Linked DNA regions of Drosophila melanogaster. The protein of the gene in region 3 purifies or fractionates together with the protein of the main gene of each other region. This does not show direct contact. Each region holds a gene or a part of one and is shown on either strand. Other genes may lie near its edges.

Region 1 (3,460 bases), on a different chromosome or scaffold from region 3:
TTTTACAGCTTGATTTCCATTTGCCCATTGGCTCTTTGTTTGTTTGCTGGCCTCTTTCTCTGTGGGTTTTTCCATGACCAGCAGATTCAACTGGTGTCGGCTTGCTGCAACTAATAAACAAACAAAATTATAACTATTTATGCCATATATACAAACTTGAGCACTTAATAGTTATAAAATACAAAGACTTCTATATCCATTGTTAAAACTTTTATTCACGAATAATTATCAGTTGATACTGAAAAATGATAATAATAAGCGAACAATTATTGCTTAAATATTGCCTGAGTAAATATTTATTTATCTCTTTTCCAAGTGGCTTCAGTAATTAGGAAAGTTCCTTTTTTGGAAATTGGGCTAAGGGCTAAGAAACAACCTCCCCCCCGTTGCCACCTTGTTAACCCTTTAACAACATTTTCGGCAATAAAAACAAGTTTATTGCCGCACCCCCATGAATATTTGTCTTTGTAGCTAAACTTTTTGTCCCCAAGGAGCAATCGTCAGAAAATGTGTTTCATTGTAGTTTATTTCTTTCGCAGCTAGTTTGTAGTTGTTTAAGTTCAAAAAAAAAGTTGCGAATAAAAAAGGGATTAATGGAGTTTACGAAGAATTTCGGCGGCTTGGTTCAAATCGGGCACGCTTAACATATAAGCATAAATATGTTTAAATGCTTATTCAAATACATATGTTTAAGTGCATTTCATATAAAAAATGGCTAGTTAAGTATTAAGTATAGAAAAAAAAACTGTAGGTAAGTAAAGGGAAATCCCTTTGACCAATTTTTAGAACTGACCACTCAGCTCGTCGTCAAAATCGGAGGTGGGTGGCGTGTCCTTGACATCCGCCCGCACCGTGTACTCCTTCTCGTTGACACTGTAGTAGATGTTGAAGTACCTGCCCGACTGAATTCTCATGGCAAGGTAGCCACTCTGGCCGCGATCCTTGGCCGTCCGCTGGTAGATCACATGTCCGCTGCTCAGGATTACGCGCACCTCCTGCGAACCGTCCTCGTTCTTCCGCGCATTCTGCCGCATGATCTGCACCAGCTGCGTCCTCAGTGGATTGGAACTGGGCTTCAGGCCCGGCAGCTGAACGAGCGGCTCACAGCGGCAGTTGAGCTTCTGGGTGAGTGGGCATGTGGTCTGGGGATTGGGTGACGAGCCGAGCAGTTGGCCCGGCACCGCGGCCACCGGCGCCACTGCACCCAGTCCCAGGTTGCCCAGATTCAGGCCGCCCAGAGTGCCGAAGCCGCCGTTTAGCGAACCGAGTCCCAGGCCGTTGATCAAATTGGGCAGGCCACCCACCCAGGTTCCGATAAGTGGAAGATTCTGGCTAAACTGAGGCAGCCAGCCGGACTGCGGCTGCTGGCTCTGGGCATTCGAACTGGAGGCCACAGGAGTCACCACCGTAATCGGCTGCAATGGCTGCAGAGGCTGAAGTTGCTGCAGTGGCGGCAGTGGCTGCAGCGGGGGATTCACATTAAGGCCATCGAAGAAAACGGGATAGTTGCCGCTGGAACCAGCCAGGCTGCTCTGGCCACCATTGGCGGTCTGGGAATACGATTAAGAGGAAAGGTAAATGTTTAAAAATTGATTGATTTAACCTAAAATCTACACCTAAGTTTGCCACGACTAGTTTGCTTCAATAATCACTTACCAATTGGCGTTTGTCACGGCGTTCCAAGGACTCCATGGGATCGTCCTTTTCCATGGATTTTTCAGTGGAAGTGGGCATGGGTGTCCTTGTACTTGCTGTCGTTGTTGTGGCTAAAGCCAGTCCAATAGCAATGGCAGCCATAAAGATGGTAAAACTTAGAATGTTGGCCATGTTTGGTTGCTCAATTGTATTTTTTAAATATATATATTTTTTTGTATTTTGTAAGGATTGTTCTTTATCAGACTTCGCTTTCAGTCGCTTTGCTGTGGTGACCAGGCTCGCCACTTCTTATATATGATTTTTGTGGTCATATCGCGATATTAAATGATATTTTGGGCTGCAGTTAATTGAACCAGATTTGCCAAGAATCAAAATGGTTTTTAACAACCAACAAAAAAAAAACTGGCTTTGCCAGTACACAAAATGTGGGTCAGCATTTAATAACGGCCATATACTTATTTATATATTCCTGCAAAATTACAGCATCTTCATTTGAATGCTTATGGAACTTAAATTCAATAACCACACAATGGCCAACATACAATGCCACTGGTGGATCTGCAGGTGTCCATTAATTTTCCAAACCTGTGCAATTAATTTACCAAGCGAATTCAAACAAATTGCTTACCTTTACTCGGCCCATCTCCTCCATTGTTTGCCAATTTTACACAAATTAATTCCTCATACATTGCACACGCCTAAGCTAGAAATCTTTGCCCACAGATATACTTACTCAACAAATGGCACATCACTTGCATGGCCATCAAAAACTTCAAGAATTGGGCATTGCTCATGGATTTTAGAAGATATTGTATTTTGTATTTTTTGAAAATTCAAAAAAAAAAAGTCGCAATGAGGAAAATGTCATTAAATATGCCGGCACATAAAAATACACAGTAGCTATATAACTTTTTGACAAATTGCCTGGGGCTTGCCATGTCCAGCGGCCAAAATCAAATCAAATTAAATTTGTGCCAAAAAAACAGGAAGAAAAAGAAGAGGAAACGCAAAATGCGGCATGGCTGGCGGAAAATGTTTCGTTTGCATGGAAATTTCGTAGTAAGATTTTAAATTTTCCCGAAGGCAAGAGAGGGAAACTAAGAAAGAAGTGGAGTGAAATGAACAAGTTGCTTGACAGCCGCTTGCTGTTGCGGACTCATAAATCAAAAAGTTGCACATTAAAGACGCCTTTGGTTCAATTAAATAGAAATTGAATTAAATTACAAAGCTGCCTGCCCTTGAAAACGTGCAAAACATCGATGCAGAACCAGGATTATGAACGAAATAAGCGGCCAAAATGATTCAAAGTGTTAACCGGTTTGTCGAGCAACAAGCCCTAAAAATAATACTTTAAAACGTTGAAAACGCTTTTATGACACAAAGGTTACGAAGACAAAGAAGTCCAGGTAAAAAATTAAAAAGAAAAAAAAAAACATAGTTAAACATATTAAAATATCACTTCAAGCAGTGCAAGTAACATTTGAATTTTAATTATGTTAATGAAACACATGTTCTAAATAAAAACACAGACGGTAACTGAACCAATGAACTTCGATCACCCCTGGAACAAACAAACTCCGAACCAAATACCCTTTAGCACATTTACGAGCTTACACACAATGTGGCGATTATAAAGATTTTTACAATCCTGCATCTGAGCTCCCCCTCTCACCCCCCCTCCCCCATCATTCATTCAGTACATATGCTTATTTACTGATTTTCATCATTTTTCGGTTTTAAATGATTATATAGTGATGCATTTTAACCCTTGGCTGCTGAACGGGGTGATAAGAGTATTTAACAT
Region 2 (6,062 bases), on a different chromosome or scaffold from region 3:
CCGGCCGCAGAAACAGAAACTTAAACTGAAACTCAAACGAAAACAAAACAGAAACGAAAACCAAAACCGAAATCGAGACAGCAGCGAACGAAGTTGAAAACGAGTCGAATCAATGCAGATAATATCAATTATATGTAAAAGATACACATGCATGCGATAGATACATTTGCCCCGATAAGCATTTAAAATATTAACATCAACACAGACTGGGTATCCATGTCATGGAATGTTCCCCGTCTCCACAGTTTCGTGTTTGTGTTTATAATTCATTAGAATCCACAGCTGATTTGAGTTATGGCAGGCAGATCCACAACTGGGGGCTTGTCGTGTTGTCTTTAACCTTTTTATCACAATTATCTAACTTCAGGTTACCTATAAGTCGCGCTTTCGGCGCAAGAAATGGGTCTTCATTTGAATAACCAAGATTTAAATCACATCGGATTTACTTCTGAAAATTAAGCTTTGCTTGTGCAATTATATATGTATACAATATAAACACAGAAACCTTTGTATATTTGCATGTTTATTTACATTAAATTAGACTACATCAGTGCACTACGACTACAAATACATTTAACTCAAAAAAAAAAATATATTGTATATGAAACATATTATTTTATAAAATAAATAACGGTTTGATGATTGTTTCGTATTTCGAACTATTAAAATACTATAATAAAATACAAACTGTTCCTTCTCAGCGAGTTGCTATAAAAGTCAAACTGGGAACACTTTTTCGATCTGTTCCCACAGCGCAGACACGCATCTGCATCTGTGCCACTTCTGGTTGTGCAAACAACTTAGCGGTGACGCAAACCTGCACTGCTTTCTTTGATTTTCTACGCAATCATATTGGGTGCTGAGAAAGTGTGAGCTGAGTTCTTAATTAATTAGCCAATTAATCATTAGACATGAGCAAAATTACAAATTAATTAGCTAATTAAGTAATGATATAGCTTACATACAGTTCCGAATTTAGTGGATAATTAATCAATTAATTGAAATGATAATATTATCATCAATTAGCCAATAAATTATCAAGTAAACAGGTTGATATTAATCCTTGCAATAGCTGGAGCGCAGGACATTTTCAGCGCCCGTGAGAATGGCTCCTTCGTGCTGAGGACATAACTTTAGGTATAGGTCGCTGGACTCCATCGCCTCGATGAGGATGTACTCCAAGTAGATACGCGGCGCGGATAGGATGCGCCATGTGAGTGGATTCAGTATATTGGTGGGGTACTCCCAATTAACAGTCGCGTACTCCGGCTCTCGGAGATTCCGTCCGGCCACCAAAGCTTTGTATTCATAGCCCGGCTCAAAGTACATTGCCTTCTGGGAGAACTTCATCATCTCCGTGGCGGCTCGCTCATTTTTGCCAGCCTTCTTCACCAGGGCATCGTGCAGCTGAATGGACAGGATGCCCACCTCGCCGCCATGTAGCGTACTCTCATCGTGTCCGGAAACTCGCACTGTTATCCTATAGTGCAGTCGGCAGAAGGGCTTGCTATCTCCAGTCCATAGGTAGAAGACCCCTGGTGAGTCGCCTTGCTGCAGCTGGCCAAGATCAACCTGCTCCTGGTAATCCTCCTGGCTGTGGTAGCCCATTCGCAGGCACGTGTGGCCCGGCTCCTCGCAACTGGTGCACTTCGTGTCCTTAAAGCTCTAAAAAGGAAGAAACAATATTACATATTTTAAGTTTGAATATTCAAAAAATCAATCAAAGAGCAATTGATTAGCAATAAAAATGCCTAGGATACCCACCTCGAAAGAATCACAGGTTATTCCAAGGAAAGGACACTGCGAGCCGATGCTTTCCGTAAAATACTGCTGACTGCGAATGTGATTGCAGCCGAGGAACTCCTGCATGGTGAGGAACAGCGTCTTCTTCTTGACCACATCCTGGAACTTCTTGTTGCAGCCGGGATTATCGAAACCACCGTTGGGAAAGAAGTCCACATGTCCCAGTCGCATATTGATGCCAAGCCCGCCTTTCATCAGGGGATTGGCATCCGTGTGCACAATGTCCACGAAGTGGGCATCCGTCTTGTCCAGCCGCACGATGGGATCGGTGTCCGTGAAGAGAGGAGCAGCCGGATCCAGACCCGTTATCCTGGCCGGTTTCAGTCCAAAGTCGTGCTGCAGGTGATAGCCGGCATAGCCGGACAGATGGGCACCCAGTGAGTGACCAATGATGTGCACATTGTCCAGATTCGGAAGACGCAACTCCTCGTACAGCATGTGCACCACATGGGCGGTGATGGCGCCCACTAGCCGGATATTGGCAACCGCCTGGACATACGGCGGACTAGCGCCACCGCCCCAATCGATGAGGACCACGGATGCCCGACCCTCGGGCTCGTGGGCCAGCAGCGCCTTGGCCATGTCCCACATCCAGGGAATTTCACCGGACTCCAGGTATCCATGGACAAGCAGGAATATCTTGCCCTTGGGATTCATTCCCATGCCTTGAACGCTTTCTGGATCATTGAGATCCAGATACTTGGGCTGATCCAATGCCCTTCGCGTGTGCAGTGTGAAATGGGGCTCGATCTCCGAAGGCTTCTGCGGATGCACATTTATCGAACGGGTCACCGTGTTCCAGGGTCCATTGATCGGAAAACAGCCATACACTCCGAAGCATTTTACCTCGTTGATGTCTGGCGAGGATTGGGGAAAATCAGTGGGTTTGTTGTGGTATGTTTGGTCTATAAATCAACAGGCGAACACCTGAACTGAGATAAGCGGGTTGGAATTTTAGCAACAAATAACCAACTATCACTAGTTTTATATATAGTTATAATTCAAAACCACTGAGGCTAAAATCTTGAAAATAATCTACTCGGGCAATTTGAATCCATGAAACTATAATAGGCATTATAAAACCATTAATCTGAACGTAACTGCCTTCTTTTAATATTCCTTTAAACTTTTGCAAAATCTCAATTAGAACTGTTGTGGTCTGGTAAAAAGCCTAACGATCCATGAAAAAACCTTAGACAATTTTCAAGATGTCAGATGCCTGTAATGTTCCATTAAGTATTTCATATGGGCCAGAAGACTTCAATTTATTTGGCCAGTGGTGCATGGATTGCCGTCTCTATTTTATCGTGGTCTTCTTTGGCTTTCCGTTTGTATCGGAAGTTTTCGATTAGATAGGCGTGTGCCGCGTCCCTCCAACAACTGAATACATATTATATATCTACATATATGTACGCACGATATGTACATATATGAAACCGCACCGGACGGAGTCGCGTCATTAGCCTTTTGGGACCCTGATTTCCAAATCAAATTGAAGCACGCCGAGTTGCCACCTGTGCCTCCATCACTCAGGTGATCGCAATCGCTGCGGGCTTCTTGAAAGAGCTTTCCCCATTTGCTAATGCGAGCAGCACTCAGCATCTTTGGATTTCGAAGCACTAAAGATCCGAAAACTGTTTGCTCAGCACACTCAGCAAAAGAAACCACTTAAGGTTGCCCCTAACTGGGCCCAAATGACACAGCTGCGGCCAAGATAATAGCTCCAATTACTCTACTCTCTTACTCTATAAAGTGGGGATATCTTGTATTTATTCTAATCTTTAACTTATTATTGAATAATAGTTCTACATATTTGTAAAAATTTCATTTCATTGAAACACTAGAAATCCCTTAGCTACTCCTATTTCGACCGCCACTGTGGCTCAAGTGGCAGATACTTTTGGGCCACTTTCGATGGACATGTTCTAGTTACGATGGGTGGTGCAATCGGTGGTAGCCAAAAGTGGGCTCGTGGCTCGAATTACTTACCACTTTTGGGAGCTGGTGGTAGGTCCACCAGGGTGTTGACTGCCGCCCGACTGGTGTGGTTGGCCAAATACAACATGGTCTGCAGCATTAGGCCGCCCGTCGTGTTGGCCACATACATCCTGCAGCTGTATCTGATTCCGATTCCGATTCCGATGCCAAATGTGATCCCTTAGATCCTGGGGATCTTGGAAATTCCCAACTTGAATCACACACTTTTTCCCAGGGCTTTAGTCAGTTCTTAACTGAACCACAATCACAAATCACTTGAACGAGTGCCACTCGAGTTGGCTATTATCTAAGGCTAGGACTGTATAGTCGAGTTACGATGGGATCGATCGATTGATCGATCGGCCTTTTGTTTGGTGCCTGGCTTTTCTTTTCTATAGTTTTAATTAAGTTGACGTTAATCTTATCGACTGTCTTTCGTCTCGAGTGTGCCGTTAGCTTGTTAGGTTAGTTGGCGGCCCTCGGTTTCTTTCGATTTTGACTATCGCCAATGACTGGGCTATATGTCGTGTATATCTCCGCCGATCTGAGTCGCTTGGAAACCGTCGCACCACTGAGCGGATCAGCTGCGCCCCACGCAATTTTTATAAAGACGTAGACGTCGCGAGAAATCGAAACCGTAACCGAAATCAGAAAGCTGCATCCGAAGCTGCAGCCGAAGCCGCCGATCGAAGATAGTGCTGACCGATCCGCCGATTTCCCGACATATACATATGCGTACAATACGTCTACCACTTCAAAGGTCAAGTGTAATAAACAGTTGGTGGAAGCCGAATATCTCGTGGAAATTACCATGAAGGCTATTCAGAAAAAAAACATACTTTAAATCTATAACCCGTTCAAGTATCACTATATATACCATTAAATGTTGATAACTACGCTCCTTTTACAGATATTATTTCTATGGAAGTTATGTCGTATTTTCGCTAGACAGCCAACACTGACCAATGAGCTTCGGCACGCGACTTACAGCAGAGAGTGTGAAAGAGAGAGAGGAAAGCAAGAGGCCCTGAGCAGCTGATAGTGCACAAGTCGAGCGTTTCGCTCAGTGTAGATGCAAAGTACACCAGCTGCTCTTTGTTGGATGCACCTTCTTGATAAGGAAGCCGATCCGCTCTGCCGACGACAACAAAGTGACCGCCATGAATGCGTTGAGCAATCTCTTACAGGAAGAGGGCGGCACAAGGGAGGATCTTATGATGGGTCAGAAATAGAGGATGGGGAACAGCCCCCTTGGGCAATCAGCAGCTGTTCTCGACAACCCATTCGGCACGGCGAGAAAAAATATACTTATTTGTATAAACTACCCATAACGATCCTAACGATTTGAACCATGTTTTTAAGGATATTCCATTATTATTGGCAATATATATCTTTAAATTTTAAAAGATTGTTATTTTAGCTTACTTTAAAAGTAGTTATATATCTAAAGATCAATATATTTGTAGAATATCTTTAAGCATGACGAACCTAGTTTTTTGCTAGCTTATTAATAGAAGAAAATTGTTTTGTGTGTAACATGCCAAGTGAATTTCTATGAAAACTGTGTCAATCGACGGGCCCCTGCCACGCCCTTGTCCCTCAGCCCACCGCCACTGACAGGTGGTGGTGTCAATGTCTGGTTAGCACTAAATATATTTGCATATGTATATTATGTTCCCCATTGGCACACGTTATCAGCGGCCAGTAATTTTCGCAGAATCCCGCCGTTTCGCTTTCGAGGCGTCCAAAGTCCGGAGAAGGTGTTTACGAGTCGGGTTTTCGATCGCTTGACACTCCACCAGGATCTCGAATATTGCCCATTGACGTCAAAGAGGCGGCCTTTCAAAAGCGTTATCACGACCTAAAGTCTGTCTGCTTTATTCTTGTTTTTGTTTACGACTTTTCTCGAAAACACAACAGAATACCCTGGAAAAATGCGAAGCTTTTAATACGATCTATACTTAGATATGTCTCTGACTCAGAGGGTATTACTTCCGTAAAGATTCAGCAGCTATTGCCCCGATTTCCGATAAGCATCGAACTTTGATTTCGAAAATTGATTCCGGTTCAAAAATCCACATGCATTGCAAATCAACACTGGTGTCTATTTGTTTTGATATTTTCCCATCGACGGGTCCAACGTCACAGCCACGCCCACTTGTTCCTAGCAAGTGTAAAAACATTTTGTTTACAACAATTATTACATGTGGCGTATAGATTACACCGAAAGGCTAATTGAAAACGGAACACACAGTGCAGAATATGAAGAATATTGAATAACA
Region 3 (6,126 bases):
AGACTGTGAGATGGTCGAAACAGTGAGGTTGTTTCGCTAATGCCACTGTCCTCGATTCTGGGTGTAGATGGTGGGCTATCCTTGGAGAGAAAGTTTAGCACGTTTGATTTCATGCTAAGCACCATTTTGATGACGTCCACATCGGGTGCAGTCACCGAGGGCGGCGGACGAACTCCCTGTAGGCAGCGACGAATCCGCCGATACAGCTCCCGTTCTCTCCTGCAGTTCTCCAAGAAGTGCGACCGGGGGTCGTTGGCGTTCAGCTGGGTGCTCGAAAGGTCCATCGTCTGCTCATCCACAAAACTGGACTCCGTGGGAGCATTCAGCGAGGAGCGAGCTCGTGCGTCGCTGGTGCACTGCGACTCTTCCAACACTTCGGGCAGATCCTCCAGCCTGGTGGGCGGCTCTTTTTCCGGTTGCTCGTCGTTGTCAGCTTCATCGTCGCTGTCGGCAAAGAGATCAGGTGAGCGTTCGTTGTTGAACTTCTGCTGCGAGGTGTTGAGCGAGGTTTCTAGCACGTTTGACAGACGTGGATTCGTAGCATTGGAGGGCCCAGGCTTGTCCTGAATTTCGGGCTTTGCGGTCAGGCTCTTGATTTTGCCATCGAAGGAGAGGCTGCCCGTTGTCGTGGTGGCTGTCGTGGCCACTGACACGGCCATGTCCACGGCATTGCAGCTGTTCTCCTCGATGAGGGTGTCGTAGAACCGGGGAAAGACAATCTTGCCCGGCGAGGGACGTCGGACGGCAGGGGGCTCCACCTCCGGCAGCTTAAGGTTCTGCAGCTGGGAGCCATACAGACGCTTGTTCACCTGGCCATATGGGCTGTCTCCGAAGCCCAGGAACTGCGATTCCTGGCTGCCCGTCTTCGGATTGGGTGGCGTTGGGGTTTCCTTGATGGGCTGGCTGCTCAGTGCTTTCGGTTTCATCAGATACGGTAAGTTCATGTGATCCTCGTCAGATATGTGGCTCTCATTGTTTTCACTGAGCGAAGACTATAAAACACAAAGTTTCAGCAAGCTCGCAACCGCAAGGACACCAATTAGTCTTACCCCGCTTCCTGTAGAAGGCTCCGATTCGTAGCTGTTGTTTATCTTGTTTCCAATAGTGGCCATTCTTCGAATAAAAATAGATTTCTCGTTGTAGTTATAGCTTCTTCTATAGCCCGAAGTTATTTTAGGCACGCGGCATTTTGTACAGGCTGCTCCAGTTTGTGGAGCCTGACGAATGGCTAGATTGACGGGGCAGAGAAAAGTGAAAGTAAGCACGGGGAGTCACTGACGATTTTCTTATCTTAGCCGCATTAATCTTCTTGGCAGTGCATTTACCTTTTGGAAATGTGGCACTTTTCCCAGGTCGGGGAAAACTAAGTTACCCAAGCGAAAAACGCGCGTAGAAGTCTGACTTTTGCGGACATTTAACGCGCTCGAGTCGCACGCTGCACGCCTATCGCTAGTATCCAGTTGTGCCCGCGAGCTTGTAGCTCCTAATGCATGTTGTCTAGCTCCTTAAAATACCTTTAATTTGTTAATTTATCTATAAAACACTGTTGTTAAAATCGCCTGTATGAACATCTGCCTGCTTTTGGCGGTGGTACTAACGCGTCTGGGAAATGCAATTAGTGATGGGCGATAGTTTTGCTATCGGGTGGCATCTTCCAAGCGGTAATCGGGGTCGTGATTTTTCTAGTAGTCATATTCCTGATTGGAATCCTTGCTAACCAATCAAACTAACACATAAATATATTTTTTACGAATATATTTACTTGTGAAACAAAGTTATTTCCTTGCGAAATTCTACTCTGCAAGACCAGCTATCGCTGCCAGCAGCAACTATCGCACCTCGTGTCAGCCCTGGTAAACAGCTGTTCGCGCATAACATAACACAATAACAACAAGCCTTCAAATTTATTAAATCTTTTATCTTTACTGCTGACTGCGCGCTTTTAATCGCAGCGCCCGCTTTGAAAACCCCCACCGACTCCGATAAATTCAGTTGTGCCCAAGAAATCAGACGCAGCAGGCCGCCAAAGGGCCAATTACGCGCTTCCCAACCACTGGCTCTGCAAGCAACAACAACAACAGCAGCAACAACCACTGAGCCAACAACACATCATCTCATCCATTTTACAAAAAAAAAAAACGTCACTAAAGTCCACGGAAAGCGATGCGATTGAGCCGCTAATCTCGGCGAGATGCGCGGAATCGAGGGCAAAGTGCTTGTTCTGGGCTCGCGAGGTAAGCACACACGTTTCCACCCGTTTCCGATTTCAATGGCCATTCGGCGGACTCCATTCAGAAGTCTCAATGATCCGCATAATGACAGTAATTCCATCAATTGCCCAGTGATAAGATTAACAACCGGGGTGAGCCGATAAGCCGTAGCCTTGAACTCCACTGGCCCCAATTGGGAATCTGCAGGCTGCATGCTGCAATCTGGATTTAGGTAGATGCAGAAGAGAGTCTGGCAAAGACAGCGTGTCTGGTTGGGATTAGGCTGAACTAGCCGATGAATTTAACCACACACGATGTCATCACATCAAGATGACGTTGCCCTTGGGATTTGGATTTACGATAAGAAATCTGTGTTAATGGGCCAAATTTGATGGCTTCCGTAGTGCACAACTCCGAAACTTAAAATTGTTCATTTCTACATTTGTACTCCAAAAACATATCAAGGGGGAAGCCTCCACCGTCTACCCTCTTCTACACAACAAAGTGGACATTTTTTGCAGCGTAATCGGCTGACGAATTCGCAATGAGTATATGTATTTAAGTTTGGCCCAAGGTCAACTAAGGGGGCTTATATGCACAGCGGGTGCAGTATTTGCTCTGCTTTTTCGCCAAACAAAGGGACGCATTGATAAAAAAAAGGCGGTACTTTCCTCGGAATATACGTTCTTCCCATAATCGCCGGATGATTCAGTGCATGCACATACTGCAGCTCCACGCGGAGATTCCCCGTCTGATCAAACACAGAGGGGCTTCTCTGAGCCACAAAAAAGTGGGCGCCGAACAAAGAATCTCGTGGTCGGTAGGCGATTCCTTATCGCTGTTTACCACCTTTTGCGGGCTAGTGCGTCTCCAGTTTTTGTTTTGTTTATTCGGCTCAATTTGCGTGATTAATCAGCGGTCAATTAATGCGTGCGCCATTCCACGTTCACTGATAAGCTGCACGGCATTATGCTTGAAGCGAAATAGGGCTCACGGGTACACAGAAAGACAATGCTGTATCTCTCGATTAATTGCATAATTTGTGTTCTTGTCTTGCAGGTGTGGGCAAAACACGTTTGGTCATCCGCTACATAAAGAACACGCTGCACCGCAAGGAAAGCGAGGTACCCACGATAGCCGTGTCCTTCTTCACGTGCAACATCATCCTGGACGAGGTCAAAATTAAATTGCAAGTGCGTATACAGCAGCCAGAATATGTATCAGTGCGACCAACTCTTTTGGGGCGAACGCAAATGGAATTGCCTCGTAAAAAAGCCGAAGCCAAAGGCAAAGCCAAAGGAATTTGCCACTGCCCCACGCGCCCACTAATCCTATTTGCCGGCTGGGCTGCCGGAACGCTAATCTGGGTTTATTCTGCCACTGGCTGCGCCGCGGGTACTTCTCGTCCGCCGTCTCCGCCGCCCACTGTTTTGGTCACTTTATTTGTCCTTTTTTGTTTGCAATTTGTGCGTCCGCTGCACTTTGTGTTATTCTCTTTTTTGTTAGCTCGTTCCTTTTTTTTTATAGTTTATTGATAAGCTAAACGGGAGCGGCAGTAGTAGCAGGAGCAGCAGCAGCACCAGCTTCGCCCATTGCCAAAGGGTTACCACCCACTTGGCCCTGGCTGCCGTATTTACTCTTCGGTGATCCCGATTTTATGCGCAGCCATATAACAATGGCCACTACAATGGCCATACGTTTACTCTCAACGCCAAACTGTTTTTTCTCTAACATGGATGCACAGGCAGCTAGGTGGATAGGCTTTAAACTGAGAAAGTTTGAAACTTTTTAGTAGAATAGAATTCAAGCTCTTTAATCCAATCACATAGCGTTTCAGCAAAGCAATACTTTTTCTTGGACGAAGTGCTTGCTCAGAATGTTGAAAGAAACAGGTCAGATTTGTTTTTCCCCCGGTTGACCCCAGTTGACCAGCAGAAGCAGTCGCCGGCGCACAATAAGTATGAATACATAATAGGATATAGTTTTCGTATTCCGCTTGTTAGATTCGCTTGCGGGGCTCTTTGTTTCTTTGGTAAGCTTTTGTGTGCTTCGATTTAGTTTCGCCAATGAACATGTCGTTGCCCCAAAATGCTTATGATTCGCATAAAGAGGAGCCCCTTGAAAAGACCCAAAGCAGGGATTTCACATCCAATATGATTGTTATTGCTGTGGGAAAACGCGACAATAAAACGGCAATTGCAGAATAAGCGGGCAATGACTCAATTAAATTCAAGTGGCGTACGAACTCTAACCAGTGCTTACTCACTCTCTCTCTCTCCTCGTAGATCTGGGATACAGCTGGCCAGGAGCGGTATCGGGCGGTGGCGCCCATGTACTACAGGAATGCCAACGCCGCCATTCTGGTGTTCGATCTAACGCAGTACAAGACATTCACGGAGATCAAGTCGTGGATTCAGGAGCTGCACCGCAATGTCCAGGACCCGATGATACTGACGCTGGTGGGTAACAAGATGGACATGCAGGCGCAGCGAGCGGTCTCCCGGGAGGAGGCCTTCGTGTTCGCCACCTCCATTGGGGCCACCTACTTCGAAACCTCCACCGAAACGGATCAGGGACTGGAGCAAGTGTTCATATCCACTGCCCAGGGACTGGTTCGCCTGGCAGACGAGGGCAAGAGTCCGTCGCTGCGCTCCTTCCAGTCGACTGATTCGCTGGCCTACACCAACACCAACACTGCCTTCAGTCACACGGTGGCCGCCCTGGCCAGGAGCTCCGGAAATGCAGCGTTCCGTCTGCCCTACGTGGACATTGGCTTGGCGGTGGAGGGCGAGGACGTGAAGACCAATGGCGTGGGGCGGCTGGAAACGGCGCCGTGGAGCATCGAGCACATCGCCCTCGGCGAGGTGGAGAGGCCCAGCTGGTGTTGCTACTAAGATCTATCAGATCCCCAGGATCCACATCTGTGAAAGAACCAATGTGATTTTAACAGAACCAGACTGCAGTTCGAATATGGGCTCAAGGGCCAGCCAGCATCGTTTAAGCAATCAAGCAACCCAACTCCGAAAACGCAAAGACCAAAAGCAGCCGCCGCAAACGCAAGATGCAAACTTGGCTTGAAGCTATGTATTAGATCACTGATTAGGCTAGATCCAGGATCCCCTCGATCCACTGACAAGGCGCTGCGACAACCGCTTCATCATAATCTTAGTTCTTAATGACAGCTGTGTACAGCAATTGCCGCGTGCATATTATGACTTTATACACTCGTTTCGCTCTAAGCCCATCTGACTTACCAATCATAAGATTAACCCACAACACACAGGGAGCAGCACTCACGAAACACTCACAAAACACTCACGAAACACTCACCCACAAGACATTAACACAAACACCAATTCATGTACAAAGCATTTTATACTGCATGCCTATAATAAATGTAAATGTAATAATGTATTTCGGCTGCTTTGTCATTTCGGGGGCGAAATCAACGCCCCCCCAGTGGCGAATCAACGGGCCAACGGCAGTGCAAGTGCATTAACTTGGCCATTAACGCGGCATCTTAACGTGTAATTGGAATTTAATGCCCCCATAACAATGCCAAGGGTTACAATTGTATTGGCTCCACCGGCTCCTAATGCCTTCGCATTAAGTTTGCCCCCCAGAAGCGTGACCTGCTATTTTTATCAACCCTTGTGCGCCACTTGGGGGCTCTTGGATGAACGTGCGTTTTGGATTTTGGGGAGCTACTAGTATTCCCGCCAAATTCGTTAGTAATTTCTAACTTCATGGAGAGCTGTTTCAGGAGGAGTTTAATTATGAAATGATTTGTTTGGACTCTCGACCTGGGAATGCACAAACAAAAATGTAATCTAATATATTAAGAGATTTAGCAAGGAGTGGCTTTTCTAAAATAAAATACCAGTATGCGAACATTCGAATCGTATGACAGACTAAT

What was found.
Region 1: the proteins of RabX1 (region 3) and CG32631 purify together in Drosophila melanogaster (affinity purification with mass spectrometry, with the first as the bait; one large-scale study listed by BioGRID). This does not show direct contact.
Region 2: the proteins of RabX1 (region 3) and CG5966 purify together in Drosophila melanogaster (affinity purification with mass spectrometry, with the first as the bait; one large-scale study listed by BioGRID). This does not show direct contact.

What each region holds. Positions count from the first base shown.
Region 1 is NC_004354.4:13,554,916-13,558,375, reverse strand, and holds CG32631 (uncharacterized protein), read right to left. Parts: upstream 1,905-3,460; 5' UTR 1,828-1,904; coding exon 1,657-1,827; intron 1,551-1,656; coding exon 783-1,550; 3' UTR 510-782; downstream 1-509.
Region 2 is NC_004354.4:5,987,088-5,993,149, reverse strand, and holds CG5966 (uncharacterized protein), read right to left. Parts: upstream 4,360-6,062; 5' UTR 3,911-4,359; coding exon 3,793-3,910; exon of another isoform or gene 2,661-3,792; coding exon 1,765-2,660; intron 1,666-1,764; coding exon 1,057-1,665; 3' UTR 510-1,056; downstream 1-509.
Region 3 is NT_033778.4:23,519,336-23,525,461, reverse strand, and holds RabX1 (RabX1), read left to right. Parts: upstream 1-1,848; 5' UTR 1,849-2,191; coding exon 2,192-2,234; intron 2,235-3,269; coding exon 3,270-3,403; intron 3,404-4,495; coding exon 4,496-5,104; 3' UTR 5,105-5,623; downstream 5,624-6,126. Other genes in the region: mi (minus), read right to left, coding at 1-992, 1,050-1,112.